Mus musculus: one gene and its partners. The protein of the gene in region 3 purifies or fractionates together with the protein of the main gene of each other region. This does not show direct contact. Links are inferred from orthologs where the notes say so. Each region holds a gene or a part of one and is shown on either strand. Other genes may lie near its edges. The genes, in order: Pxmp2, Faf2, Pex19 and Nat14.

Region 1 (7,331 bases), on a different chromosome or scaffold from region 3:
CACCACGTTTGATGTTTATGTATTTCTGATATGGTATGGCATATACATTCCTGAAAAAACATCAAGGCTGGTAGAAGGCTCAATGAAAACAACAACAACAAAAAACAGCATTTCTAGGAAAAATACAACAAAAGCAACTCCCACCTCAAAACTCCCTGGCCTTTAAATACCATTCCAATGAGTAAGTTGGTAAAATAGACTAGAAAACTGTTTACCCAGATGCTACCTCCTCTTAATACGGGTTCCTCTAAGCTGTCTACCTTACTTTTTATTCAGCCATAGTACAAAAATCTAAAAGATGAAAGTACCAAAGAAGACTGCTTACAGATTACCTCAGACAGTGTGAAAGCGCTCTGAGCATACATTCTCAGTTCATTTTCATGATAGCACCTATGAAGAGGGCCATCTAGTTCCTCATTCAATGAATACGGAGGCAGTTACATATAAAGCCCAATCTTTACCACTACCTACAGCTTCAAGGAAACATGCTCACCTCACAGGACTGATTTAACGATTTCACGAGCCAATCCACATAAAGCACATGGGGCATAAAGCATAAGCATAAGCTAAAAGCTATTGCTAAGAGTACACAGGTGGACAAATTGGGTTATTTAAATATATATATGTGTGTGTGTGCATGTGTATACATACATACATACATACATACATATATGGTCTCTAAGTTGGAAAAGGTTATATATGGGAAGAATTGAGAGGAGTAGGGTATGTGTGTGAATATAACCAAATTCTTAAAAACAAAAGGTTTCTAAAAGGTTTTATTTATTTATGCAGCAACAACTTTCCATCTGCTCAAGTACATGGCAAAGTTGAATGACTAAGGGCACGTCCTTAGTTGATGATATGTCCTAGTGGTAGAGTATGTGAGGTTCTGTATTGCACTTCTAGCTACATATACACATGTAATATATAAAGTATATATTATATATACAACATACAATGCCACATGTAATAACATAATTATATAATGCATAAAATCTAATATATGTAAAATATATATTTATATATGCACATCAAATAGTTGTAAATGTAGATAAAGTACTTCACATCTCTCATCTCTAAACTGAAGTCTAGCATGAACATAACAGTATGAGTACTGCCCACCTCACGTGTCTTTCCATGGCATCATGGACATGAAGAAGTCAACACAGTAACTATTGTTACTGTTAGACTGAGGCTTGGATGTATGAAAAAGAACATAGCTCCTTTTTCTAAATCAGGAATGAGCTTGGTAGAGCAAGTAATAGCCTGAGAACCAGGGCCTTGAGGGCGCTGTGGATCCGGATCCTAAGAAATCATCTCTTCTCATCCTTAAGGGGCTATGGTTTTCTGTCCCAAGGCTGCTACCTGCTCTATGACACTGTCCCACCCACCTTTCCATAGAGGTACAAAACCTCTATGTAAGACACTGTACTTGGGGGCTTGAAGAAATGGCTTGGGGCTGGAGAGATGGCTTAGTGGTTAAGAGCACTGACTGCTCTTCCAAAGGTCCTGAGTTCAATTCCCAGCAACCACATGGTGGTTCACAACCATTTACAATGTGATCTGACTGGTGTGTCTTAAGACAGGACAACTACAGAGTACTCACATACATAAAATAAGTAAATACATCAAAAAAAAAAAAAGATGCTGTACTTCCTAATAAACTTGCTTGCATGAGCCATCACTCTGTGTGACACCTCCTGATCCTGAATGCTCTTATCTTCTCCATCTCCTCCTCATCCCCCTGGCCATCACTCTCTCAGGAACCTGTCACTGAAGAACCGCTTACTGGTCCAGGTCAATTACCCTGGCTGCTATGCAGGTGTTGTACAGCAAACCCAGAGCTTCACATATAATAGGAAAACACTATCACTATTCAGCTCTAACCGGGCTTCCACTCAATGAGTGCTCACATTCTGATACACAGTCTTTTTTTTTTTTTTAAGATTTATTTATTATTATATGTAAATACACTGTAGCTGTCTTCAGACACTCCAGAAGAGGGAGTCAGATCTTGTTACGGATGGTTGTGAGCCACCATGTGGTTGCTGGGATTTGAACTCTGGACCTTCAGAAGAACACTCGGGTGCTCTTACCCACTGAGCCATCTCACCAGCCCCTGATACAGAGTCTTATTCTGCCACAGTGTCACCAATCTCTATATACGATATCCACATCAGTTTCCTTTGTCACCATACTCTAGAATCTCTTGCTGATGTGATGCGTAAGGGTTTCGGCTTTTGGTTTAATAAATTGGTTTACTTCGCCGAGCTGGTCTAGACAGAATCTTCCTTTACTTTCCCCGTTCCCTTCTTGTCTGATGAGAATAGATGTTCACCCCTAGTCAAGTCACAGGGCAGGCACAGATATTTCTAGAGAAGCAGCCTGGGCCACGGAGTTGAGTTTAGCATCTCAATAAAAACTACGGAAACCACACAGGGCGAAGACGGGAGCCCGCCCTGTCCTCCGCGCCGCGCGCCGGGCCCGCTGTTTTCCCCACCCCTGAACCCCCGGACACCGCGCCCGCCCAAGCTTGCTCCGGCCGCGGCTACCGCCAGCGCCTTGGCAGCAGGACACCGGCTCTCACCGGCTGCCTTCGCCATCCGCGCCCGGCTCGGGGTGCCTCCGTCCACTGTTCCTCAGGACCATTGCGACGCTCCAAAGCTCCCTCAGGCTCCGGGGAGAATTTGGCGCGCTCTCCACGTGCTCTCGCGAGGCTACGGCTTCGGCCAATGAGAAGGCGCGGCCTCAGATGGACCTAGCCGGGGCCCGCCCCCATCGCCCCGCCCCGCCCCGCCCCGCCCCTCGGCTCTCCAATCCTCCGGCGAGCGCAGAGGGTGGGTCGCAGGGACCGGGGGAAAAGAGTGCACTAGCTGGCCGCGCGCGTGGCGGGACGGCCGGGCTCGCTGAGGGCGGAGGAAGGGCAGAAAATGTCAGGCCGTCCCCGCCCTGTGCCCTGTGTCCCGGGCCGGGTGCCCGACTGCCTAGCTGTTGGGTGGGCGCCCGGGGCGACTTAGACATCCGGACCGCGATGGCACCTGCGGCGTCCAGGCTGCGGGTGGAATCCGAGCTCGGGTCGCTTCCCAAGCGAGCGCTCGCCCAATACTTGCTGCTCCTAAAGCTCTACCCGGTGCTCACCAAAGCAGTCAGCAGGTGGGCGCCTACTGGGAAGTGGGGTGAAAAGGAGGGGTGCCGACAGGGGAGACTCTCCTGCAGGGGAGGTTAAGAGAGGGGGCGTCTGCAGACCAAGCAGCTCAGATATTGCCCGAGCAGCAGTGGATCTCAGCCTGTACGTCGGGAACCCCTTAAAGGTTGAACGACCTTTGTACAGGGGGTCACGTATCAGATATCCTGTATATCAGATATTTACGTTATGATTCACAACAGTAGCAGCATTACAGTTTAGAAGTAGCAGTGAAAGTAATTTTATGGTTGGGGTGACCACACCATGAGGAGCTAACTGTATTATTAAAGGGTCACAGCGATAAGAAGGTTGAGAACCACTGCTGTGGAGGAAGGCAGAGTTCTTCCTTAAGGTGCGACCCCGTTCTGCTTAGCCAGTAAGTGCTGTTTGTGTGTTGGGTCCCAAGCATTAGTTAGCCTTTGCAGTCTGAGTGTTGTGAAGACCCGCGAGTCAGGGACACATTCTAACCCTGAGCAACCCAGGCACGGTCGCTGGTGAACTCTGCCCTTTGAATTACATCGTTCGGTTTCCTAACGAGATATCCCTGTTTCTGTTCATTTCCATTAGTGCATTTTGTAGGTTCTGTATTAACTTAGCTTTTCCATAAGTGTGTGCAGAGTGCTTCCTGTGCGCGGGCACATAGCTGTGATCAGAACAGGCGCATAGACTTCTCTCGGAGCTAAGAAGAACGAGTCCATCTTCCCACCCCACCCCACCCCACCCCCGCAAAAGGCAGATAAATGTATAACTTAGAGCAGTTAGGGAAATTTCTCCTGGGTTGTTGACGTTGGTCAGAAGCACAGAGAAGAGAAGCGGTTGTTTACAGGGCACAGTAAGTGTAAAAGTTCTGGGGGAAGAATTCAGAGAATGTCGGAGGGGTGAAGAGAAGGACTCTGGTGGAGAAAATGACCAGGGAGAGTAGATAGGAAGAGGTAACCAGGGGTCAAGTCAAGAGGGTCCTTATGATCCATACTAAAAGTTTTGGATTTATAGCTTTTTAGAAGACAGCTGTGGTGGTTAAAGCTAGTTGTCAACTTGATAACATTTAGGAATTAAGCATGCCTGAGGGGCTTATCTTGATTATCTTCTTTGAGCTGGGAAGATCTGCCCACTAGGGGCGCCACCATTCCTAGTTGGTGTCTGACTGGAAGTGGAAAAAGTGAGCTAGCTGAACCGCACGCGTTTTCTCTCTCTTTTCATTGTGGGTGTGCTGTGAGGAGATCCTTCAACCTCCTGTTGCCTTCACTTCTCTGCCTTGATGGACTTGAACCTTTAACTGGGAGCTGAAATAAGCCATTGTTCTCTTAAGTTGCCTTTGTCTCATTTTTTGTTTGGTTTGGTTTTTGTTCATTTTGCAACATAAAAAGAAACTAAGAGCCAGGCGTGGTGGCACAAGCCTTTAATCCCAGCACTCGGGAGGCAGAGGCAGGCAGATTTTTGAGTTCGAGGCTAGCCTGGTCTACAAAGTGAGTTCCAGGACAGCCAGGGGTATACAGAAAAACCCTGTCTCAAAAACAAAACAAAAAAACAAAAAAAACACAAACAAACAAACAAAACAAAACAAAACAAAACTACAACATAGAGTTATTTGCTTAAATACAGCCCACAGACCATGTCCTTGTGAGGATCCCTCCTATTGCCTTTTACATCCATGCCTTCAATGGAGCAGCTGTGGGGATGTTGGAAGGCACACAGCCCCGCAGGTGGATGTCTCACTGTGCTCATCTGTGGTTTTCACTTTAGGTCATAGTGCCTCTATCTTCTGGGGCTTTACCTAACTTAGCAAGTTACTTCAATAGGGACTCATCCCATGATCTACACAGCAAGATCTTTTTTTGTTGTTGGTGGTTGTTTTTTGTTTTTGTTTTTCGAGACAGGGTTTCTCTGTATGGCTCTGGCTGTCTTGGAACTCACTCTGTAGACAAGGCTGGCTTCTAACTCAGAAATCCGCCTGCCTCTGCCTCCTGAGTGCTGGGATTAAAGGTGTGCACCACCACACCCGGCTCTACACAGGAAGATCTTACAGCAGCCGTGCTACTGCCATGCGGGACAGGCTCTTGTGTCTGCTGCTCATTTTCTGATTGTCTCTTCCTCTACAGCGGCATTTTGTCAGCCCTTGGAAACCTTCTGGCCCAGACGATTGAGAAGCGGAAAAAAGACTCTCAAAATCTAGAAGTCAGTGGGCTTCTCAGATATTTAGTTTATGGGTAAGTACCACAGAGATCTGCCTGCCAGCATTAGCCCTTCGGAATATGTTGGTTTAAAAAACCTAATTCTGAGGCTGGAGGATGGCTAAGCTAGCAGTGCTGACTGCTCTTATGGAGGACCCAGGTTTGATTCCCAGCTCCCATGCAGTTCATAACCTTCTGTAACTCCAGTTCCAGGAGGTCTGATGACTTCTGACCTCGTAAGGCCCCAGACACATATATGGTACACAGAGATATACCTGCAAGCAAAATATCCATGTACAAGAAATAGAAAGCAAAAAATTTAATTAAAAAAAAGAAAAAAATAATTGTTTAAGAAGCATCAGAGAAGCTGGGCGTGGTGGTGCACGCCTTTAATCCCAGCACTCAGGAGGCAGAGGCAGGCGGATTTCTGAGTTCGAGGCCAGCCTGGTCTACAGAGTGAGTTCCAGGACAGCCAGGGCTAACACAGATAAACCCTGTCTCCAAAACAAACAAAGACACAAACTTTGTGTGGATGTGTGGCATTAGAATTAAACCCAAGGCTTTGTATAGGTTACCACTGACCTCACGTATCATCATTATTTAGTTGGGTGTGGTAGTGCATGCCTTTAATCTCAGTACTTGGGAAGCCATCCTGGTCTCAGTGGTGAGTTTCAGGTCAACCAGAGCTACACAGTGAGACCCTGTCTTAAGCCAAAATAAATAAGTAAATAAATAAATAACCAGAAAGACTATTCCTGGGTGTGTGTGTGTGTGTGTATGTGTGCGAGCACATGTATGTGCCCACATGCATATGCATGCATGTGTAAATAAAAGAGAGTCCGAACCTCATATATCCTTTGGACTCTGTTGATCCCCTTGCCTCCTGAGTGCTAGGATTATAGATGTGCACCACCATATCTGTATAGCCCTGACTGTCCTGGAACTCACTTTGTAAACTAGGCTGGCCTCAAACTCAGAAATCCGCCTGCCTCCCGAGTGCTGGAATTAAAGGCGTGTACCACCACACCCGGCCTTTTGTGGGTTTTTTGTTTGTTTGTTTTTTGGGTTTTTTTTTTTTCAATGATGGGAATGAAACCCAGGATTGTTTGTTTGTTTTGCCTACTTGCAAAGTACTCTTGCATACTTGGGAAGTACTCTACCAACTGAGATTCACTCCAAACTCCACAAAAGCTTCCAAGAATAATAACTTGGGCCATTTATTAAAATGTTTAAAAAGCCACATCCCCCATACTTTGGCAAGTAAGAAGATCAGCTAAGGTACTTTAACACCTCTCACCTGATCTTGGCCTCCCAAAGACTTCCCTTGTTTGCCTTACTGTGGCCAAAAGAAAGTTCAATTGAAAACCTTGTTTATAGACTTTGGTAGAATTGAAAGACCCGGGTTCCTGCCCTTCCCTATATTACTGTACTTTGTGAAACTCAATCTGCTGGACTTGGCTCATTCCCAGGTGAACCAAGTGTGGACTAGAGATCAGCGCTTTAGGGAAGTCAGAGGTGATAACCAGGTTTTCTCTTGCCAGTTTCCCCTAAAAGCTTGATGAAAGGGCTGGAGAGATGGCTCAGTGGTTAAGAGCATGGACTGCTCTTCCAGAGGTCCTGAGTTCAATTCCCAGCAACCACATAGAGGCTCACAACCACTTATAATGGGATCTGATGCCCTCTTTAGACAGCTACAGTGTACTCATATGAAGAAAATAAATAAATCTTTTTTTTTTTTTTTTAAAGCTTGATAGAAATCTCTGGGAGCTGAGCTATGTTTGTCTGTTTCTCAGAACCTGTTAAATCAGGAGGGCACAGATGAGGACAGATGGCATAAATGCCTGGAACACAGAGGAGGCAGATGAGCATATACCTCAGCCAGGGCCATCATTGTGGCTGTCCCTGCTCACCAAATGGAAGAACTGGCAGAAGTCACTTCAGTCTTTTTGGGCAAAAAGACTTGCTGAAACTGACTG
Region 2 (6,800 bases), on a different chromosome or scaffold from region 3:
AAAGCAGGTAGGCAGCACTCCTTCATGGCCTCTGCATCAGCTCCTGCCTTCAGGTTCCTGCCCTGTTTTGAGTTCCTGCCCTGACTGCCTTGGATGACGATGATACAGAACTGTAAGAAAATAAGCCCTTTCCTACACAGCTTGCTTTAGGTCCTGGTGACTTATCCCAGCAAGAGAAACCTTGACTAGGACACAGGGTCTTATATATCTCAAGGTGGTCTCGAAACTCACTATGTAGCCAAGGATGACCTTGAACTTCTGATCTGTTCCCCAACTGTTAGGAACTCAAGTGCACTTCCTGTCTATTTTCTCTTCTACTGAAGACAACGGCATTCTGAAGCAGAGCACAGCAAACTCCTGTGGAATTTGGGATCAAAGTCTGGGCAGGCCTTTGTAGCAGGTACTGCTAGCCACTGAGCTATCTCATGACCTGCACTTACTGTCTGACAATCTCATGCATTTAGATAATGGACTTTAGTCATTTTCAACTCCAATCCACTCTCATCCCCTTCATTCCTCCTGACTCTGTCCTTCCATATGTGGCCTGTGGCAGAGGGTAGTTGGGCGTTATTTACAGAAACAAGGCAACTACTCCCCACTGATGGCCAATAGTCCCTCAGGGAGGGGCGGGGGCTTTGAGTGTGGTGACTCGCTCATCCTCTGCCTTACTCTCCTTCTGCTCCTCTTCCCTGACACCCCTGAGCCCCGAGGCAGGGCCACAGCTGTCCCACTCAGAGCCAAGCACTCCAGCACCTCAGTGGTCCACACTGAGGTCAGACAGAGGCCAGCATGTTTCCTTCTACATTTACTTATTCAAATGTACATGGTACTGAAGAAGGAGTAAGCGTGCCGCACAACATGTGGAGGGCAGTACTCTCCTCCTACCTGAAATTAAGTGTGATCTTGCTGGTTGGTCCTCAATCTTTAAAAAAAAGTTATTCTTATTTTTAAAATTGGTGTGTTTGTGAGTGAGAGGAAAGAATCGGAGAAAGATAGAGAGAGAGAGAATGAGAATATATATATATACATATATGCACACACACACATATACTCAGGTGCCCATGAAGGAGTTGGATCTCCCAGAGCTGGAATTATGAACTGCCCATCTTTAGTGCTGGGAACTGAGCTGGGGTCCTTTGGATCCTAACCGCTGAGCCATCCCCAGCTCCCCACGTTGTATTTAAGGCAGTTTCTCAGTGACCCTGCAGCCTGCTCACTGACTAGCCTGACTGACCTGCAGAGCTCGGGACCCTCCTGTCTCTGCTCTGCTCAGTGTGGCAGCTGCTCCTAGCTTTCATGGGGGTGCTGTGGAGCAAAGCTCAGGTCTTAGCTCCCACAGAAAGCCCCCATGGACAGCCATCTCCTTGCTACCCTGGAGTGGCTGCTTATGTGTGCACCATGCTCCTGCAATGACATCTGGATGAGATCCCAGAGGAACAGAACTCAAACAACTTCCCGAGAGTTGAAACAAGTGAAGCTAACTAAGTGCTAACCAAGTCTACTAAACTGTCTGAGCCCAGTCATCAGAGCACAAGCTGTGGCGTCTTGGTCTGCAGTTCTAAAACCACACGTAAAGCAGTGCAGGGTGAAAGCAGTGAAGGTGAGCGACAGCCTTGGGCTTGAGCTCCCACCCAGTGGGATCTGATGCTGCCTCAGGGGCAGAGGTTGGAACAGAACTGATAAACTAGACACCTAGCTGTTGTCCACTGCTACACAACTGATCTGCTTGGTGTGTGGAAAAAACCACCTATACATCTGGTGCCAAATGTGATCTGTGTTGAGTATGACAAGGTAAATGGGCCTTTTGTTTGTTTTCTGTTATTATCTTCAGAGTAAGCAGAGAGTGTGCACAAGTGACTACAAATCTAGAAGCACCCTAAAATTATGAATGCTTTAAAATTTCTTCTTTGACTTTACCATTTCAATTTTTCTGTAACTACTGTACATAATCCATGTAATGAGAAAAGCTATAATCAGTCCACCTTCTTCGCATTAAGTTCTATGTTCAGCATTCCAAGCTATTCTTTTGTTTGTTTGTTTTTTCGAGGCAGGGTTTCTCTGTGTAGCCCTGGCTGTTCTGGAACTCACTCTGTAGACCAGGCTGGCCTCGAACTCAGAAATCGCCTGCCTCTGCCTCCCAAGTGCTGGGATTAAAGGTGTGTGCCGCCACCACCGCCCGGCCCAAGCTATTCTTCAACATGAAGCAAAGGCTTTTAAAGTGCCCAAGACACAGGAAAGAAGTCTGTGGAGCCCCAAGTCAGTCCGTTTTCCAAGCACACATCTCCAGTACCTTTCTAGACGTTCTGACACCAGGTAAGTCTGGTTTGCATCCATGATGAATGTCAGCTGGTTGATGAGGTCATCAGGTTGAATGAGGCCTTCTAGCCTTCCAACCACAGTCATTCGCCGATCCTTCAACATAATCATAGCTAGGAATGGATAGGTGTTCTCCCGTAAGGCCTGGGACACTGACACAAAGACCCAAGAGATCAAGCGTAAGAGTTGGGAGGAAACACATCAGTCCTTAGACTTTGCACACACTGATGGAAATACCCTCAGAGATTTATTTCTGTCTCCTGTGCGTCAGCACTTGTCTCCATGCACACGTGCATCACATGCATGCATGGTGCCCAGGAAGACTGGAGGAGGCTCAGATTCCCTGCATCTGAGTTACAGACAGCTGTGAGCCGCCAAGCGGGTCCTCTGGAAAAGCAGCCCATGCCCTTCGTCACCGAGCCATCTCTCCAGCCCCTCTGCTGTATTTTTTCCTCTAAAGATGAGTGCAGAGATTAGAAGACAGCTTTCTAGAGTTGGTTCTCTCTTTCCCCTGTGTTTGATAACCAAACTCAAATTCCATCTCATAAGCCCTGCCTGGTCTCTTCATTGTTTTCTGTCACGTTTGTATTCCTAAACTGAGGCGAGTGCTTAGACCAGGGTGAGGCTTCTTGGTAAGCTGCTGTTATGCTGAAAAGGTAACAAGGTTCTAGGATAATGTCTACTGAACGGAAGGAAAAGGCACTATAAAGAGCCATGTTACACTTAAGTATAATTTCTCCAGATGTTAAGAGTCAAAGCCACTGGGGACAAGGCTGAAATTCTCAGCTGCATGCTGGTGGCTATGGTTTTACAGCGCATACACTTCCTGTCTTTTCCTCCTCATCCAATTCCTTCCACCCCTCATTTTCTTCCCTTAACAATGTTAGCTTTCTGCTCCAAGTAAGAAAGTTGTTCTGTAAATAAACAAATTTTACTATGATGTAATTGCATCTATGTTCTTTTTTTTTTTTAATTTATTTATTATTGTATGTGTGAGTATACTGTTGCTGTCTTCAGACACACCAGAAGAGGGCATCAGATCCCATTACAGATGGTTGTGAGCCACCATGTGGTTGCTGGGAATTGAACTCAGGACCTATAGAATAAATGCTGAGCCATCTCTCCAGACCCCTGCATCCTATGTTATAAAGAAAGAAATTTTATAACTCTTTACAAAAAGTATCCTTTGTGTAATCTACCTGCTAGCCCCACAGAGCCACATTAGAATGGCAAAACACAGGCTGCAGGAATATAGCCCATGTTTACAAATCAATTAGGAGTAAAGATTAAGAACTAAGGTGCAAGAGAAACAGCTACATTGTATTATATTTAGTTCTGAACACCAGGCACCCAATGCCTAGGTGTTAGCATATACAGAGGTTGCTGGACAAAGAGGCTACAAAATGACTGTATTCTCACCACTGGGATCTTTGTATCTTCTGATGATTTCTAAAAACACTGACTAAGAGTTGCTGCCAGAAAGACTGAACTCCCTGCATTGGCTGTCTGCGCTCTAGCACTCAACAGAAGACTCATTAACCAGAGTTCTGCTGAAAGCCTGGATAGAGAAGACAAATGCCTAGCAAAAGCCTGTTAAAATTAGAACTGAGCTGCTGGGCAGGACTGACTGAAAATCAGAGTCTCTGGCAATGGTTAGCTGTAAAGAATGGGCCTTAAACTTGCTCTGCTCAAACACAACCGTACGCTGACTGTATGCTCTTGGATCTGTCTTAATGTCTCTGTTGTTGTTTCATTAATCTCAAAGAAGAATTAATACAACCTTTATCTCTCAGACTGTTGACAAAGTTAAATGACAGAAAGTAAAAACTGCAACTAGCATTATGTCTATCAGAGAACCACCACCCAGGAATGCAACAGCATGCTTTTCCAGACTTCCCCAAGGATACTCTAACCTTCTCAGTAAGGCAGAGGAACACGACTTACCCCTGTACCCCTCAGGCTTGTTTGTAGAACAAGCCCAGAAAAGCATCCTGCTGTTTATCAGTGAGATGACCTCAGGTGCGCAGAGAGCATTGCTGTGGAACAAGATAAAACATTGTGAGAGCAATTTGCCAACTATAAACCATCAGCAAAAAAGTCAGAGAAGAAAGAAAATGACTCATCTACTTACCGGCAGAACTCATCAGAGTCCTGGTGGTCATCTCCATGAAGATAAACCAAAAGAAATCGAAGTTCCCGCTTGGCATCGTTAAGTGCCTTAGAGAGACAAAAGATCATGACTTACTACTACTAAGGTCTGGAACTACTATTTAGGCTAAGGGTTCAGATGAACATAACTTTTAATCAACATTAGCAACTAGAAAGAGGGGAGGGAAGTGGGGTTGAAGGGGAAGCAAGAAACTAAGTACTTCCCAGGCTTCTACCTTTACATCTATCCCTGGCATCTTTCTCCTTATAAAGCCCAAGCCAACAACTTTAACGCAAAGCCTTTCGTGCTGTTAGAATTTACGCTGCATCGGGCACATGAGGATGTAAGAAGTGACTCAAATAATTCCTGACAGTCACAGAAAGTCAGCTGTTCTCATGGTTTAAAGGTAAAGCAGGACACTGTGACTATGTAAAAGCAATTTTGCAGCTTCAAAATTCTTGCTAATAAAAAATTAGCTGCAAAGATGAGTGGGATCCAGCAAGAACACAGGCAAGCAGGAAGCACTAGGGCACCCAAAGGTTTCCTAAAGAGCACAGGGTTCAGAAGATCTGAGACAAAGCAAGTGTCTTGTCACGAATCTTGTCACGTATGAATGGTATACTCCTGACTAACTGCCTGTAATTCCCTGCATTGCTAATGTAGTCTACCCTCAAGATCACGCAAAGAACTGCTGTCTCCCTCACCCTCACTCTCTGCGGCCCCAAGCAGGGGATCTAACTGTGTACAGCAGGTAGGTGTGTGATGTTTGCGAGTGGGGAGCAGCAGCCAGCATGAAGATCAACTGTGAGACAAAGCAGAAGCAAGAGTGAGCTGCCCCCTCTCCAGATAAGAATCAGGAATTCCAGATACTCCACAACAGAGCCACCTTTTAACACATGTCTGTGCTGCTCTTTATTGTTCTCTGGCAAACTACATATGCCTAAAATCCAGCTTTCCTCCCTAAAAGGAGAAAATGAAAGGTCTTTGTGGCTTGGTTTGAATCAAATGAGCTGCCTTGAGCCTATGGTCTAAATCCTATTCAGTTTGTAAGAGATCAAAACAAATTCTGCTCTTGCCTTGAAGGTGTGTACAGTCTGATAACACAGCAAAGACATGAACACAAATCATGTAAGGAGGAATGTAAAATTGCTATAAATTTAAGAACAGAAGGATGGAAAACAAAAAAGAAGGAAGGTCAGTACTTTAGAAAGCAAGGTAGGGTGCGATAGGGAAGGAATGGAGTGGCCAGAACAGCCCGAGCTGGTGTGAAGGACGGGTGCGGAAGGCAAGGCACCCGTTAGCCAAAATGATAGAGGACACTCCTTGTGGGAGGAGCAGCAAGAGCAGGCACTGAGGGGAAGTGTTCGGGGAGGGGTGCGGTGGGAATCTAGGGAATGGAAACAAGCTATGCAGAAAGGACATCACAAGAACGGGGCTAGACCAGGAGGCTAGAGAAAAGGCTTGGTCCTGCCTCTGTTTACATTTCTCTAACCAGTGAGGAACTAGTTAAGTCTTTTGTGAGTGTAAGAGCAACATGATCACAGCTAAGCTACACTTTCCTTTGAGGACAGAATCATATTGGTACGTTGGCATCTATTTGGTTCGTGGCACTGACCTGGCTGTACGTTCCCTGGTAGAAGACAGGGTGTGCCCTCCCATATTTCTCTTCAAAAGAGTGCATAAATGAAACAATGTCCCCAACAGGGTCAGTGACCCGGCTGCGAGGGTCAGGCCGTATAAAACGAAGAGCAAACCTGGGGAGGAAGGAATAAATATCACATGAATTGGCTTACTGTAGCGCATATGGAGTGGGCCAGTTTGTACAGACTTTTCTAACAGAGCCAGAGGGTGGTAGCAGGGGAAGTGAGTGGTGAGTGAGTGGCCATTAACCCTCAAGGGAGAGTTGAGGACACTGCCAAGTGTCCGCTCTCTGCTCAAGAAGACTGCACACCACTAGACAGCGACATTCCAGTGCAGGGCTGACCAAGAAAGATCCAAACCCCAGACACTGTCTAACGTGGCAGCGACTAACTATTTATGGCTGTTTTAAATGCGTTAAATTAAACACAATTACAATTCAGTGCCTGAGCCACACCTACCATGTCTCAAGTGCTCAACAGACGTATGTGGTCAGTGATTTGCACACCAAATAATGCAGACAAAGAACGTGTCTTAATCAAAAAATAAGAAAAGAAAGAAAGAAAAGGTGCAATGACAAACACTGCTGCAGAATAGACGACCCCTTGCTGCATCTCCTCCTCCCAGCATCCCCTGCTTTATGTTCTTCTGGGATTCTGACTGTTCAGCTCCTACTCTCAAGTTACTCAAGTATCAA
Region 3 (7,507 bases):
GCTCAAACATTCCCAGCGTGGACAGATGGTCAGCTTAATACTCTCAATAACAACTGTGACAAACAAGGCGTTTTAAAAAACCGTACTTGTCCATTCAAATTACCCCTTTACTATGCATCGTCTCAGCAAAGTGGCCCACGAGCTGATACACTGAAGTGAGGATTCAAGCCAGCAATGGAAACTCACGAACCTTTTCTGTGATCTCCTTCAGGGATGGGTACAGCACATCCTTAGACAGGAGGTTCTGCATGATGCTCTGCATGATGGGGAGAATGCTCGCTTCCCCATCCCCCTCATCCATGCCCAGCCCTTCCATGGCTTTCATCAGCTCCTCTTCAGACATGCCCGAGTTCTAGACAAGAGAAAGAGAGGTGAACAGGCACCCTGCCTCCCTGAATGCTTACCACTTTTTCCGGTGGAAAGAACTATCTAAATTTGCCTGTAACAAAAACCAAAGGGGGCCAGATTTGGGAGAGATATCAGAAAGCTTTTTGTTGTTGTTGTTGTTGTTTTCAAGACAGGGTTTCTCTGTGTAGCCCTGGCTGTCCTGGACCTCACTCTGTAGACCAGGCTGGCCTTGAACCCAGAAATCTGCCTGCCTCTGCCTCCCAAGTGCTGGGATTAAAGGCGTGCGCCACCGCCACCACCACCACCACCCCCCGGCAGAGCTTTTTTAAAAACTTTAAAAAGTAAACTTTTTAAAGTTTTATCTTATTTATGTTTTTTTTTTCTTTTTTGACTGTGTGTAAATTTGTCAGAAAATGTGTGAAAATGTCAGAAGCCCTGGAACTGGAGTGATAAGACAGGCGTGAGCTGCCATGTGGGTGCTGGGAATTGAACCCTAGTCCTCTGGAAGATCAGCCAGTGTTCTTAACTGCTGAGCCATGGCTCCAGGCCCCCTCCCCACCCAGCATCTGTTTTGTGAGACTGCTTAGGAAGCACTGAGAGCGGCCTCCCCTCACTCCTTCCCCCTTACCTGCAGCTCAGTGGCGTTTTTGGCCAGGCCACTTAACGTCTCCTTTAGGCAAGAAGTAAACTCTTGCTGAGAACTTGCATCGCTGCCTGGGAGACAAAAGACCCAGGGTTAGCTAGGATCCTCACTGTCAGCTTGTCTACACCCATCTAGTTACCAGCCTGGATGGAGAGCATTTACTAGCAAGCTACTACCACTTCCAAATCTTAGTTGTTCTGTAGTTACCTTCACGGGCATGCCATGAATCTATATTGGTACTGTGTTAGCTGTTCTCCACAGTAACACTCCTTTAAAAGGGTTGCTTTGGGAGAATCGTATTGATTTGTGAGGATTTGTGAGGTACGGTCTCACTCTGTAGTTCCAGCTGTTGTAAAACTCACCATGCAGATCATGTTGGCCTCAAACTCATAGAGATTCGTCTACCTCTGCTTCTGATGTGCTGGGATTGAATAAGCCACTACACCTGGCTGGAATAATCTTTTTTCATTACTTTCCAAAATATCTTACCTTTTTCCTTTTAGTAAGCTAGATTCCCACAGCTCTTTCTCTTGCCTTACACCCCCCCACCCCCAGCCATGGCTGTGACATCATGATGGTCATCAATTTTACAATCCTGGTACTCTCAATCAGTTAAGAGGCCTGTCCAGTATTATGTTTGGGGTTTCCTCACCCACTCTCCCAGCTGCCTCTGAGAGCTTCTGGAACTGCTCCACCAGATGGGGCTCTTCCTCAGCCAGCTCCTTCATTGCCTTCTCAAACTCCGCAGTAGCTTGGGAAGCCAGCTCACTGTCAAACAGTTCCTGGAAAAATTTCTCTTGGGAGGCGAAGAGAGCATCCTGCAAGGGTGGGGTGGGGTGGGGAGGGAGACAACATTTGCCTCCTATAGCATCACCCTGGGGCTAGCCGCTTAAACGAGCTCATATTGGGAAATGAAACATCTCCCCTCCCACGAGCACCTCCACTGAACATTCCATCTACCTCTTCTCCGGAGGGCAGCAAAGACTGGCCACTGAAGGTCTAATATGAGGTAGCATACAAAGCCAACCACTTAAAACCGCTCTTTCCTCTTTCCTCGTTAGCCCTCCGTAAAACCACAGGTCCTCGTTTCATAGGAACTGAGGCCTGGAAGAACACTCAGCAGTGTGAGGCAAAGGCACCCTCTCAGCCACCCCTCTGGCCCAGAGGGCCCCCCATCCCTGCTCTGAGCTGCATGGCCATCCTCCCTCTCCCTTAAGTGGGGGAATTGATACTTTGGCAGTATCTCCTGGCGCTCTCTTCTGGGGTCCTGAAGCGTCGGGAGCCGAGATGGTCGGAGCATGTTCTGGGGAGGGTTTGGCTTTGTCGAAATCATCAAGAGCACCTTCGGAGACAAGAGAAATCATCAAGAGCACCTTCGGAGACAAGAGACGGACGTGGTGGCGATGTTGAGGGTGGAAAGGGCTAGACAGCCGTGTGATTTGAAACAAACTCTTAGGAAAATAATGATACAAAGTGCTGGCTTTCCTGGACTTCTCTCTCTTTTTCTGGTGTCTCTTCTGCCTGGACTACTGGCCAATAGGCTTCCCACCTTCCTTGAGAACCATCTAGTTTGTTGTGACCAGTTGGGAAGGAAACCCTTTTACACAGAACCAGTGTTCATCTCAGAATTAGGAGGAGAGAATTAAATAAAAGCTGTGCAAAGAAATCTCTATATGCACACTATAAAATTCCCTTAAAAAAAAAAAAAAACCCTGCTGGGTCGTGGTGGCGCACGCCTTTAATCCCAGCACTCAGGAGGCAGAGGCAGGCAGATTTCTGAGTTCGAGGCCAGCCTGGTCTACAGAGTGAGTTCCAGGACAGCCAAGGCTACACAGAGAAACCCTGCCTTGAAAAACCAAACCAACCAACCAAACAAACAAAAACCTACACATTTCATCTAACATGAAGAAGAGGGGAGAGAGAGCCTTATTTCTTGGAATTCACTCTGAGGCCTTAGCTAATATCGTCTGTTGAGGAAGCACAGAATATACCACCCGGCTTTCCACCGTTCTGACTACTAGGATACATTCGACAAGAAGGTATTAACTCTTAAATAATGCTCCAATTTAGATCGCCCTTAACAGGCACCTATAGCCTCCTTGGCCTCATATGCAGTAAGCCTGGGCCAGGCCAGTCACTGGGCACTCCTCACTTCATCTGTTCATTTTCTACCTGCTTATATCGCTGTGACTGAGCAAGAGATAAAAGGTTCACCTCTGCCCTGAAAAGCCTGTGTTGTCACCATCACTCTGCCTGCCAGGACTAGGGAAAGGGCACTGGCCTCACTGGCGCAGGAAACGGGAGTGGAGTGCAAGGCCAAGAAAGAGATGAAGGTCCACCATCTTTTCAGGAAGAGGAGACCTTTTCCCCTGGGGCTGGCTCACTTTGTTTTCTCCAAAGGATAAATAAGGGATGTCAGGCATTGTGGTGCCATGCGAGAATGCGGAGGAAGGGACTGGAAAAATCACAAGTTCAGGGCCACTCTACAGTACTCAATGAGTGTGAGGTCAGCCTAAAACTACACGAGACAGTCTCTCAACATCACACTAATTTTAAAAGGAGACTTCTTTGACTACTCGCACGAAAGAACTAAGGGTCTGGTAAAAGAATGAGGAAAGACTGTGCGGTAAAAAGGCGTTTCGGGTTAAGAAAGATACTATCATGGACATATGGACCTTTGGAGCTTAAAGATTATTTTGTTCTGTGAATCCTGCTACTGAAAGGAGAGGCGATTTTAATAATTTACAGAAGGCGATCCTGGTGGGTCCAGCCTGTGATCTCTGTACTCCCAGTGGCGGAGGCTGAAAGACTGCCGCGAGTTCCAGATCAGCCTGGGATACCGAGTGAGAGAGCCTTGCCTCAACAACAATCCGACAATCGAAAGCAAGAGAAGTTTGTAAGGGGCTCGTGAAACAGCTCTTTACGGTTAGTGTTCCCCTTCGCAGGGAGATGTGCGGTTTGGACACAGCCAGCTAATAAAGAGGGCCGGGGTCGAACTCAGACCACCTCCCCCGCTGACCACTGAAGAGATTCTCCCGCCCCGCTCAGAAACCTCAAGTTCCTCTAACCCCCACGATGGATCCTCTCCCCGATACTTCTGGTCTTTCCCATCGTGCACTCTTACTTTCCAGAAGCTCCTCCAGTTCCCGGTCGTCTTCGACCCCAACACCGCAACCTTCCTCAGCAGCCGCCATCTTACTGCCTCCGACTTGCCGTAGGAGGTGGAACCACTGGCGCCACCACATGCCCCGCCCCAACCCCGCCCCCATGACTTGAGCAGCCAATAATATCGTTCTACCGTGCAGGACCGCCATTTTTAAAGGGACAGGAGACTGGGTTTGTTTTTGTTTTTGTTTTTTTTCTTGGGTTGGGCCTCAAACCTAGGTTCTTGCACGTATTAAGCAAGCACTCGGCTACTGGAGCTACAGAGCCACAGCGGTTTGCCTTGAACTAGATAGATTGCTCAAGCTGGTCCAGAAATCGGGGTCTCCCTTCCCCGTCTCCACTTCCAAACTACTTGACCCATGAGGCCCAGCTGTATTGTGGGGGCGGGTCAGAAGGGGTGGGAGGGTTTATTGCGTTTTGCTTGCCCCATCTTTAACCTGGAATCTTTAATCTGGGTTTTGTTTTCAGGCAGGGTTTTCTAATCCTACTGTCTCCACCTCCCAAGGACAGAGATTACAGCACAGGGCTCAGCTAAAATACGAAGCTATTAAACGAGCAATTTTTCGCTTGAGACAGGATTGCCAAATTGAAGCAACCTTGGTTTCATCCTCAAAGCACACGTGGTAGGAGAGATGTCTATCATGTGCTGGCTCTGACCTCCGAATATGCTCCTTGACATATACACAAAACAGATAAACAAAGATCATCCAATTTATTTTTAGCGTATAATGAGCATCTACTGTTGTATACAATCGTGCTGAGCACAGTGAAATCTACAAGTGGATCAGGGATGGTCCTACCTGTAGAGGTTGACTGGAGATAGAATTGGAAACACAGATGTTACTTAAGCAGATTAAAAAACAAGCATTCTTTCTTTGAATCATTTCTTTCAGTTTTCTTTGTGTGTTGGGGGGATTGTCTTGTTTTTGTTTTATCGAGAATGTTCTGTATGTAGCCTTGGCTTTCCTGGAACTCTGTAGACCAGGCTGGCCTTGAACGAAAAAAATACTCTTGACTCTGCCTCGAGGGTGGTGGCATTAAATGCGTGTACCACCACACCTGTCTCTCTTTTCTATTCAGCTGGCAAGAAGTGGCAAATCCCTTTGGAGCTAGAGCAATAGGTGGTTGGCAGCCACCAGATGTGGGTGCTGGGAACTAACCTGAGTCCTCTGCAAGAACAGTCTTTGCTCTAAACAGCTAAGCCATCTCTTTAACCACCATGATATCTTTTTTTTTTTTTTTTGAGACAGCATCTTGCTCTTTAGCCAATTGTTCTGCTTTAACCTTCCAAGAATCCGAATTATGGCTGTGAATTGCTGTGCCAGATTCTTGCCTGACCTTGAAGGAAGAATGTATAAAACTTAAGAAAATATTCCCGTAATATACACATTTTTGAGAAAGCAGTCTTAGTTTGAGGATTATATTTAAGAAAGCAACTCTTAAATCTGAAAACACTAAAGTCCTGTGCTCTTTGGAGCAGCTTTTCCTCCTCAGTCAGGCACACTCCCCCCCCCCCACACACACACACAATGTATGTTCCAGTTTACTCATTGCAGCAATGCTGATAATCAGCATAAATAACCCAGATACTATGAGGAAAACCTAAACACACAACACACATATAAAACTTTAAAATGTCTTGAATTAAAAAAAAAAAAAGATTATGTTCCTGCCATGTATAAAAGGAAGGTGGGGAAAAACACAGTGATATACTTATAAATATATACTTTTTGAAGGCCATAAGGAAACTGGTAAGTAGTTACCTGTTTGGGGAAAACTAATAGGAACTGAGTGGCTCAGGAAAAAGATACACAAGGCAGTTAGTTTTTTGGGTTTGTTTTGATTTTTTTTCCTCTGAGACAGGGTTTCTCTGTGTAGCCCTGGTTGTCCTAGAACTCATTCTGTAGACCAGGCTGCCTCATACTCAGACATCAGTTGGCCTCTGCCTCCCTAGCGCTGGGATTAAAGGCGTGTGCCACCACCACTGGGCAGTAATTGTGAGTGTATAGGTGGAATGGTGCCTACACACGATGATGCTTGTGTGGAGGTCATGTGCTGCCCTGGGGAGCAAGTTCTCTCCTCCCACCATGCGGATCTCCATGATCAAACTCAGGTTGTCAGTCATGACCTCCAAGTGCCCTTACTTCCTACGCCATGTCACTGGCCTGACAGTAAAGGTCTAAAGACTGGTGTCTGAACTTCACGGATATATTATCAGTTGAAAAAAGAAAGGGGCTGGTGAGATGGCTCAGTGTTAAGAGCACCGACTGATTGCTCTTCCAAAGGTCCTGAGTTCAAATCCCAGCAACCACATGGTGGCTCATAACGAGATCTGACTCCCTCTTCTTGAGTGTCTGAAGACAGCTACAGTGTACTTACATATTACAAATAAATAAATTAATTTAAAAAAAGAAAGAAAAAGAAAAGAAAAAGGAAAGGATTTAAAATGGATTAAAATGAAAAATTCAAGTAATTTCAGCACTAAGGAGCTGGGAGACTGGAAGATTAAAAATTCAAGGTCAGTTCAAGGCCAGTCGAGGCTGTAGGAGAAGCTGTATAAAGAAACACAAAGAAACCAATACATATTTTGAACATCTTTTTCCTGTGGCTATAGAGAGCTCAATAGTAGAATACTTGCCTATCATGTGCAAAACCCCAGGTTCAATCACCAGTAACTAAATAAAATGTCTGCACTTATCTATTTTTAGGAAAGGGGTCGAATGCCATATGTCGTACTGGGAACTAAGTCCAGAACCCTGCCATACTAGGCCAACACCCTCCCAATGGAGCTGTCTCCAGCTGTGCATTTATGTGCAGTTGTATGTGCATTTGTGGACATAAGTGCAGGCGCTCATGAAAGCCAGAAGAAAACATCAGATCCCATGAAGCTGGCATTACAGGTGGTTGTGAGCCACCTTGCCTGGGTGATGGGAACTGAACCCAGGCCCTCTGGAAGTACAATACTTGCTCTTAACTGCTGAGCCACCTCACTAGCCTGTTTTTTGTTTGTTTTTGTTTTTGTTTTGTTTTTTTTGAGATAAGGTCATTCAGGCTAACCCTGAAACTAGCTGAAGTTATCCTAGGTTTAGAAAGTGGTATTTTTGTATATGAATGTTTTGGTTGTTACTGTATGTAGATCTGTGTACCATGTGCATGCAGTACCTGCGTTCACCAGAAAAGTGAGTTAGATCTCATGGAACGGAAGTTATGGATTGTTATGAGTAACCATGTGGGTGCTGGGGAATTGAACTCTGGAAGAACAGCCAGTGTTCTTAACTGCTGCTGAGCCACCTCGCCAGTCCCTTGTCTTGAGCTTTTCATTTTTGAGTCTCACTGTGTAGCCATTGGACC
Region 4 (7,358 bases), on a different chromosome or scaffold from region 3:
ACCGGCATGTGCACACAGGAGAACGCCCTTACACCTGTGGCATTTGTGGGAAGAGCTTTACTCAGAGCACCAATCTGCGGCAGCACCAGCGGGTGCACACGGGCGAGCGCCCCTTCCGTTGCCCACTCTGCCCCAAGACCTTCACACACTCCTCCAACCTGCTGCTGCACCACCGCACCCACGGCCCTGCCCCCGGCCCCGCCCCTGCCCCCGCCCCCCCAGGGGAGACCAGCAGAGCTGACACCAAGGTTCTGGTCTCTGATGCCTACTTGCAGCCCCGTAGCCCGCCTGAGCCTCCAGCCCCACCACCCCAGCCCCCACCCGTGGTGCCCGAGCTTTTTTTGGCTGCTGCTGAGACTACAGTGGAGCTAGTGTACCGCTGCGATGGCTGCGAGCAGGGCTTCAGCAGCGAGGAGCTCCTCCTGGAGCACCAGCCATGCCCGGGGCCCCCTGTAGCCACCCAGTCCCAGGATGTGCCTGCCGAGCTGCCCCAGGCTGACTCCGCCCTACCACAGCCCCCACCTGCCACTCCAGGCCCTCCTAACTTTGCTTGTCTTCCTTGTGGGAAGTCCTTCCGGACGGTGGCTGGCCTGTCCCGTCACCAGCACAGCCATGGTGCGGCCAGTGGACAGGCCTTTCGCTGTGGCAGCTGTGATGGTGCCTTCCCACAACTGGCCAGCCTCTTGGCTCACCAGCAGTGTCACGTGGAGGAGGCGGCAGCCGGACGCCCACCTCCCCAGGCTGAGGTTGCGGAGGTCACCTGTCCCCAGGAACCTGTAGCCCCAGCCACTCCTGCCCCACCCCCTCCTCCTCCACCTGCCCCGGTGGTTTCTGCAGAGCGGCCCTACAAATGTGCCGAGTGTGGGAAGGCCTTCAAGGGTTCTTCCGGGCTGCGCTACCACCTTCGGGACCACACAGGTGAGCGGCCCTACCAGTGTGGGGAGTGCGGCAAAGCCTTCAAACGCTCCTCCCTGCTGGCCATCCACCAGCGTGTGCACACAGGCCTGCGAGCCTTCACCTGCGGCCAGTGTGGCCTCACCTTCAAGTGGTCGTCCCACTATCAGTACCATCTGCGACTTCACTCGGGTGAGCGGCCCTATGCCTGCACTGAGTGTGGCAAAGCCTTCCGTAACACTTCGTGCCTGCGGCGCCACCGGCATGTGCACACCGGTGAGCGGCCCCACTCATGTAGTGTGTGTGGCAAGAGCTTCGCACAGACGTCCAACTTGCGGCAGCACCAGCGGGTGCACACGGGCGAGCGCCCCTTCCGTTGCCCGCTCTGCCCCAAGACCTTCACACACTCCTCCAACCTGCTGCTGCACCAGCGCACTCATTCTGCCGAGCGCCCTTTTGCCTGCCCCATTTGTGGCCGTGGCTTTGTTATGGCTGCCTACCTGCAGCGGCATCTGAGGACGCACACCCCAGCCACCACAACTTCGGGCACCACCGGCTCTGCTGTAGCATCGCAGCCCCCTGCCCCATTGGCTGCAGCTCCAACTCCACTGGCTGCTCAAGATGTTCACGTACTCCCTAACCTACAGGCCACACTTTCACTTGAAGTAGCTGGGGGAACAGCCCAGCCTACGCCCCCAGGCCCGGCTGCTCCCAGTTCTCAAACATTTCTCCTGGTACAGACTGCCCAGGGCCTCCAGCTGATTCCAAGCAGTGTCCAATCCCCTACTCCTCCACCCCCGCCTCCACCCCCTAAAGTCATTCTGCTGCCTCCTGCCAGTGCTGGAGGTCCGGGCAGTGGTGCTGCAAGGCCAGGCCCTCGGTCTGTTGGGAAAGCTGGACAGGGGACAGGGGTGGTGTGGTTTCCAGGCCCAGGTGGTCTGGGGCTGCAAGGAGGGGCCAATGCAGGGGCTAGCGGGGGAGGGCAGAGCCTCATTGTTCTGCAGAATGTAGGGAGTGGGGAGACAGGACCACAGGAAGTGAGTGGGGTCCAGCTTCAGCCAGCACAGGAAGTGGCCACGGTACAACTACAGCCTGCACAGGAAGTGACTACAGTCCAGCTACAACCAGCACAGGAGGTGACTACGGTCCAGCTCCAGCCCCTGACAGGCCAAGTCTCCAATTCTAATGGAGGAGCTGGCACTACAGAAGCTCCAAACCTGCTGCTGGTTCAGAGTGGGGCAACTGAAGAGTTGCTGACCGGCCCTGGGCCCGGGGAAGTGGGAGACAGTGAGGCCGGTGCTGGTGTGGTCCAGGACGTCCTGTTTGAGACACTGCAGACAGATGAGGGGCTGCAGAGTGTGCTGGTGCTGAGTGGGGCGGATGGTGAGCAGACTAGGCTCTGCGTGCAGGAGGTGGAAACGCTTTCCCCCGGTCTGGCGGAGCCAGCGGCCACTGGCCCATCAGGACAGAAACTCCTTATCATTCGTAGCGCCCCAGCTACTGATCTGCTAGAAAATAGCAGCGTTGCAGGAGGCACCACAACACTGCAACTCCTGGCCCCGTCAGCACCTGGCCCGGTCTCTGCCCCTGTGGGGGTGCCCGTAGCTCCCCCGTCCCAGATGGTACAAGTGGTCCCCGCAGTGGCTGGACCAGGGGTCATGGCTCCCCAGAACTTGCCCTCCATCCAGATTGTGCAGACTCTTCCTGCAGTCCAACTGGTACACACGTTTTGAAGAGACCCCCTCCCCGCAATTAACTGTTCTCCTCAGCTGGGCTGGGGTCAGCCCCAGAGTCAGGGGGGCTGCTGGCTGGACTTGCTAATAAAGACCCAGAATCTCTTCCTGGTTTTGTTTTCATGGGGGAGGTATAGTCATGGGCATAGCCCCTGCTTCAGACCTGGAAGTCTTCATTCTTGCTTCCCGGATCTGAGGTGACTTGCTTTGTACTTGGAGGGCTAAATGCTTCTCCGGGGTGGGGTCCAGCTCCCCCATCCTTTAAACTGTTAAGGCTTTTACTGTGCTGGGGGTGGGAGGGCGGGTACACTTGCAGAGGACAGAGAGACAGTGGGAGTCAGTCATGTGGGTTTCCTTTTGGCAAGCTCTCTTACTCCCTGAGCTATTTCTCTGGTCCTTTCCCAACCTTTGTATGTATTCGTCTGTAGTTGTACTTATAGCAGGGAGGGTTAGGGATCAATTTCTGGATTTTCCACTTCTTTCCTATAAACCACCCTTACCTCACCTGAAAGGTAGGTAGAGGAATATTATTAATTCAAACGATACCCCAGGTGCCTCCGGGTTGAGAATAAGGTCTCAGCTGATGGGGATGCTTGATGCTACCCCTCATCCCTTCCCTCAAAGACCCAAGCGCCAATGAGATTAGGTTCACAAGCAACGCCTCCTCTTCCTGATGCTCAGGTCGCTTAGCAACGAAGGACCAGCAAGAAAGGAGCTGTGCTAATCCTCCCAGGCAGGCCGGGTAAGAAACCCTCTCTGTCCCCCACTCCCATCCCCCCTTCTCCAAGGTTCTCCCACTGGCCTCCAGCAGGTCACAGCTCTTCCCTCGTCCTCGCAGTTTCCTCCATTACTCCCAACCCCTGCCCCATAGTGGGGGAAGCTTGGCAACAGTTGCTAAGGTGCCGGTCTTGCCTCCAGTCGGGAGCGTGGACGTCACTTCCGGTGGTGACCCTCTCCTGCCCCTGCCCCCCTTCTCCCTTACTGTCAAGGGATTCGAGCAACCCCGTGGAGGTGCCTTTCAGGGCCCTGTTTCTGCTATGTGGGGTGGGACCACTTCAGGAGACCGGCTGCTGGAGTTTGGATAGGGGATGAGTTTACAGGCAGATCAATGAATGTCTTCTCCGGAGTGGGGGACGATTCGGGACGATTTTCAGAGCCCCACTGGGTATGGAGGCACCTGGCCTGCCACTGTGACAGTCTTCTTTGGCAATGCTCTAGGGTCCTTGGCGATCTGGGAAACACTGCGGCCCATCCCTCCCAGGGCTCTTAGAACTCAGGTGCCCACCTAACACCAACCTACTTGTTTTCAGCAGGTGTACAACGTCAGCTCCCTTGGGGAGGGGCCTGCCTGGGGGCTACCATGGCCCCTAACCACCTGTCAGTGCGGGAAATGAGGGAAGATGAGAAGCCCCTGGTGCTGGAGATGCTGAAGGTGAGAGGCCGGCAGGGGCACCAGTGAGCATGCGCAGCTTCTTAGGGCCATTCAAAGTGGGTTCCATCAGCCCCGCCCACCTGCCTGAGCTCCGGGGGTCCTGGGGGAGGGGATTTTCGCCTCAGCTGTTTTTAATTGGTCTCTTTTCTCTACTGCCTTCTCCCTACTTAAACCTCAGCTGCCATTTTTAAAAAAGCAATTGAAAGGGTGTAGGGGCTGGGTGTTCAGGTCTCTTGACCTCCATTCAGCCCCACTTACCAGTCCCAAAATGAGGGCTACTGAGACACACACACACCCCAGACCTTCCAGCGAAGAGCCCATGTCTTCACTTTGCCTATCCTGTTCAGTCTCCTTTGGTGCGTTACCTTAGCATGCCATCCGGACTCATGGGCCTCAGGTCCTAAATCAGTTCATTTCATTCGGGCAAACCGCATTCATTCGCTCAGCCCTTAACACCCAATGGGCCAGACTGGGACCACCCCATCCGCTGGCTTCTCTTCTCACTTGAGAAGAGAAATCCTTCCTCGGAAGTTCTTATGTGATGAATGGCTGAGCCTCTACTCCCACCCACAGGCTGGTGTAAAAGACACGGAAAACCGTGTGGCCCTCCACGCTCTGACACGACCTCCAGCCCTTCTCCTCCTGGCTGCAGCCAGCAGCGGACTGCGCTTCATCCTGGCCTCCTTCGCCCTGGCCCTCCTGCTGCCCGTGTTTCTGGCTGTAGCCGCTGTGAAGCTGGGTTTGCGAGCCCGATGGGGCTCTCTGCCTCCACCAGGCGGCCTGGGAGGGCCCTGGGTGGCTGTCCGTGGCTCCGGCGATGTGTGTGGAGTCCTGGCTCTGGCCCCTGGTGCCAACGTGGGGGATGGAGCCCGAGTCACCCGCCTCTCTGTCTCTCGATGGCACCGTCGCAGGGGCGTGGGCAGAAGGCTGCTGGCCTTTGCCGAGGCTCGAGCCCGAGCATGGGCTGGAAGTATGGGGGAGCCTCGGGCCCGGCTCGTGGTCCCAGTGGCTGTAGCCGCTTGGGGGGTGGCAGGGTTATTGGAGGCCTGTGGCTACCAGGCAGAGGGAGGCTGGGGCTGCATGGGCTATATGCTGGTTAGGGAATTCAGCAAAGACCTGTGATTAGAGACCATGCCCACTGGATAGATGGGCAGAGAACCAGCACCTAAAGAACACCTACTGTGTGCCAGGCACTTTACATCCCCCCCTCAGTGTCTACCTAGTCTGCTGGGCTGATAGTGAAGCACCGAGGTTGATGGACTTACATTCCCAGTGTGCCTGCCAGCTGCAATGAGGACTCTAAACTCAAGTAGAACAAATCCCTTCTTGGTCTTCTGGGACCACTAGAGGTCACCGTGTCCAGTCCTTTGCCTCACCCCCACTGCCCCAGTCTGTATGCACTGAAAAACGTCGGGTTCTGGGTCTACAAAGCCCCTGCTGCCTGTGTTTGAGGTCTGGAAGGGAGATTTGAGGAAAGAGAGAGAGAGAGAGAGAGAGAGAGAGAGAGAGAGAGAGAGAGAGAGAGAGAGAGAGAGAGAGAGACTAAAAGTTAGAGTCTGTGACAGGGAACTCCCAAAGGGGACAGATCTTCTGGGAGTGGGTGGGGCCAGGAGCACAGTGTCTCCAAGCCCATCTGGTTTTTTACACTGTTTGTTAATAAACCCTGAAACTTCTGTGTGCCTGTCTCCTGTCTGATGCATTTTCCAGCTGCTCTCTCCAGACTCCCTCCTTCTGTCTGGCTCCTCCTCTCCGAAGAAGTTGACATTAATTGCTAGGGAAGTGTGTGTGTTGGGGGGGGGGGGGGGGCGCTGGGAAGAGGAGAAGCAGTGAGCTCACAGCGGCAGCCAGTCTTTGCCAGGCCTTCTGAGTCATGCTCCCCATTACCAAAGTTTTCCCCCTCACAGCTGCCTGGTGTGTGTGTGTGTGTGTGTGTGTGTGTGTGTGTGTGTGTACCCCCTCCAGACCGAAGCCTTGACCCCTCAGTCTCTCTACCCTCCATACCTTTGTTCTGGGAACTGGTAATAAGTTCAGACACTCTTTTCTCGAATCGGCACTGGGAGCTTCCCATCCAGATTTACCACAGTGGGTGACAAATGGACAGGAGTTTTTCAGTTTCTTTTCCTGATCTAGGAAGTCCCTCCTAGTATCTGGCTTCAGGCCCTCATGCTACTGCAGGATTCCCCAAAATCTGTCCACTCCCAGCTGCACTTACTTGCCTGGCTGGACAATAAGAGGAGGCAGAAGGGTGTGCCCTCAGCCCTGTCCCCCAGACACCCAGGCCTGCCCCTTCCCAGAGCTGCCATCCCCATAAGCATCTCTGAGCACGTGGCCCTCTGGAGCCTGGCTGGCCGCCTCCCTCCAGTGTGGGTGTTTGCACTTGAACACCTCCCTTCTGCCTGCCCCCCGCACCCCCCCCTCCAGCCTCAGCTGTGGCCAGCCCCCTCCCCCTCCTGTCCCCTGCTGCATCCCTGCAGCCTCTCTCCCTCCTGGCAGAGCCTTCAGCCCAGCCTGCTCCTAGCTGTCCAGGGCTCCTCAGCAGCTGCTTCCCTCCCTGGCTGCCTCCTCCTCCCCTCTCCTGCCCTCCTTCCCCTTTCACCCCATCCCCTGCCCCTGGACTCTGCGAACATGAGGGGCTTGGCCTGCCTCCTTGGTGAGTGATCCATTTCCTTGGGGGGGGGGGTAAGCACCTTAGGGGCCTGGACCCTTACCTCTGACCCAGTTAGCTTCTCCAGTTTAGGGGCTCATACTTGAGGGAGCCTGTTCTGGTCCCTGGTGCAGTGTGATATCCTGACATCTGGCTGGCCCCTCTAATCCCTGAGGGACCCAGCCTTCTGCACGTCCTGCCTAGCAGCTCAAGTGACCTGCCCTTTGTTGCCCTGTCATGTACTCTGTAGCGCTATCACTCCCACCATTCAATCTGGTCCCCAGTCCTGTTTTCAAGGGTCAGGCATCTGGGGCCCCACCCACCCCAGGGACCTGTAACTTATCCCAGCCTCCTCCCAAAGTCCATTCCAGCAGTGGGGTTTCTGACTCAGAGGTGTGAGGAATCTGACTGTGAATGGGTGCTTCCCACTGTACTGAGGCTGGGAGCCTGCACTGGGGAAAGGACCCCTCCCCTCTGATTTATCCTTCACTCTGTCCCCTCCAACCTCCTTTGCAGCAATGCTGGTGGGGATCCAGGCTATAGGTAAGTGTCCTGATTCTACACTTGGCCTCACCCCGCTCCAACTCCCCCCCTCTCCTTCTGGTCTCTGCTACCCCAATTCCACTCCCCAGACATTGCTGCCATCCAACAGGGA

What was found.
Region 1: the proteins of Pex19 (region 3) and Pxmp2 purify together in Homo sapiens (affinity purification with mass spectrometry; 3 studies listed by BioGRID and IntAct, counting the BioPlex papers as one, with this or other methods). This does not show direct contact. The link is inferred for Mus musculus from reciprocal best matches to the Homo sapiens genes PEX19 and PXMP2.
Region 2: the proteins of Pex19 (region 3) and Faf2 purify together in Homo sapiens (affinity purification with mass spectrometry; 4 studies listed by BioGRID and IntAct, counting the BioPlex papers as one, with this or other methods). This does not show direct contact. The link is inferred for Mus musculus from reciprocal best matches to the Homo sapiens genes PEX19 and FAF2.
Region 4: the proteins of Pex19 (region 3) and Nat14 purify together in Homo sapiens (co-immunoprecipitation; 3 studies listed by BioGRID and IntAct, counting the BioPlex papers as one, with this or other methods). This does not show direct contact. The link is inferred for Mus musculus from reciprocal best matches to the Homo sapiens genes PEX19 and NAT14.

What each region holds. Positions count from the first base shown.
Region 1 is NC_000071.6:110,281,706-110,289,036, reverse strand, and holds the start of Pxmp2 (peroxisomal membrane protein 2), read left to right. Parts: upstream 1-2,868; 5' UTR 2,869-3,031; coding exon 3,032-3,153; intron 3,154-5,283; coding exon 5,284-5,391; intron 5,392-7,331. Other genes in the region: Pole (DNA polymerase epsilon catalytic subunit A), read right to left, coding at 2,588-2,649. UniProt on the Homo sapiens protein: Seems to be involved in pore-forming activity and may contribute to the unspecific permeability of the peroxisomal membrane.
Region 2 is NC_000079.6:54,647,711-54,654,510, reverse strand, and holds part of Faf2 (FAS-associated factor 2), read right to left. Parts: intron 6,220-6,800; coding exon 6,081-6,219; intron 4,534-6,080; coding exon 4,448-4,533; intron 4,353-4,447; coding exon 4,261-4,352; intron 2,469-4,260; coding exon 2,291-2,468; intron 1-2,290. UniProt on the Homo sapiens protein: Plays an important role in endoplasmic reticulum-associated degradation (ERAD) that mediates ubiquitin-dependent degradation of misfolded endoplasmic reticulum proteins.
Region 3 is NC_000067.6:172,123,457-172,130,963, reverse strand, and holds the start of Pex19 (peroxisomal biogenesis factor 19), read right to left. Parts: upstream 4,210-7,507; 5' UTR 4,186-4,209; coding exon 4,116-4,185; intron 2,334-4,115; coding exon 2,224-2,333; intron 1,810-2,223; coding exon 1,644-1,809; intron 1,063-1,643; coding exon 977-1,062; intron 353-976; coding exon 191-352; intron 1-190. UniProt on the Homo sapiens protein: Necessary for early peroxisomal biogenesis. Acts both as a cytosolic chaperone and as an import receptor for peroxisomal membrane proteins (PMPs).
Region 4 is NC_000073.6:4,919,271-4,926,628, forward strand, and holds Nat14 (N-acetyltransferase 14), read left to right. Parts: upstream 1-3,315; 5' UTR 3,316-3,369; intron 3,370-3,375; exon of another isoform or gene 3,376-3,792; intron 3,793-3,937; 5' UTR 3,938-3,987; coding exon 3,988-4,059; intron 4,060-4,632; coding exon 4,633-5,181; 3' UTR 5,182-5,736; downstream 5,737-7,358. Other genes in the region: Zfp628 (zinc finger protein 628), read left to right, coding at 1-2,627; soluble scavenger receptor cysteine-rich domain-containing protein SSC5D, read left to right, coding at 6,223-6,709, 7,220-7,246. UniProt on the Homo sapiens protein: Probable acetyltransferase. May act as a transcription factor that regulates the expression of coproporphyrinogen oxidase by binding to a promoter regulatory element.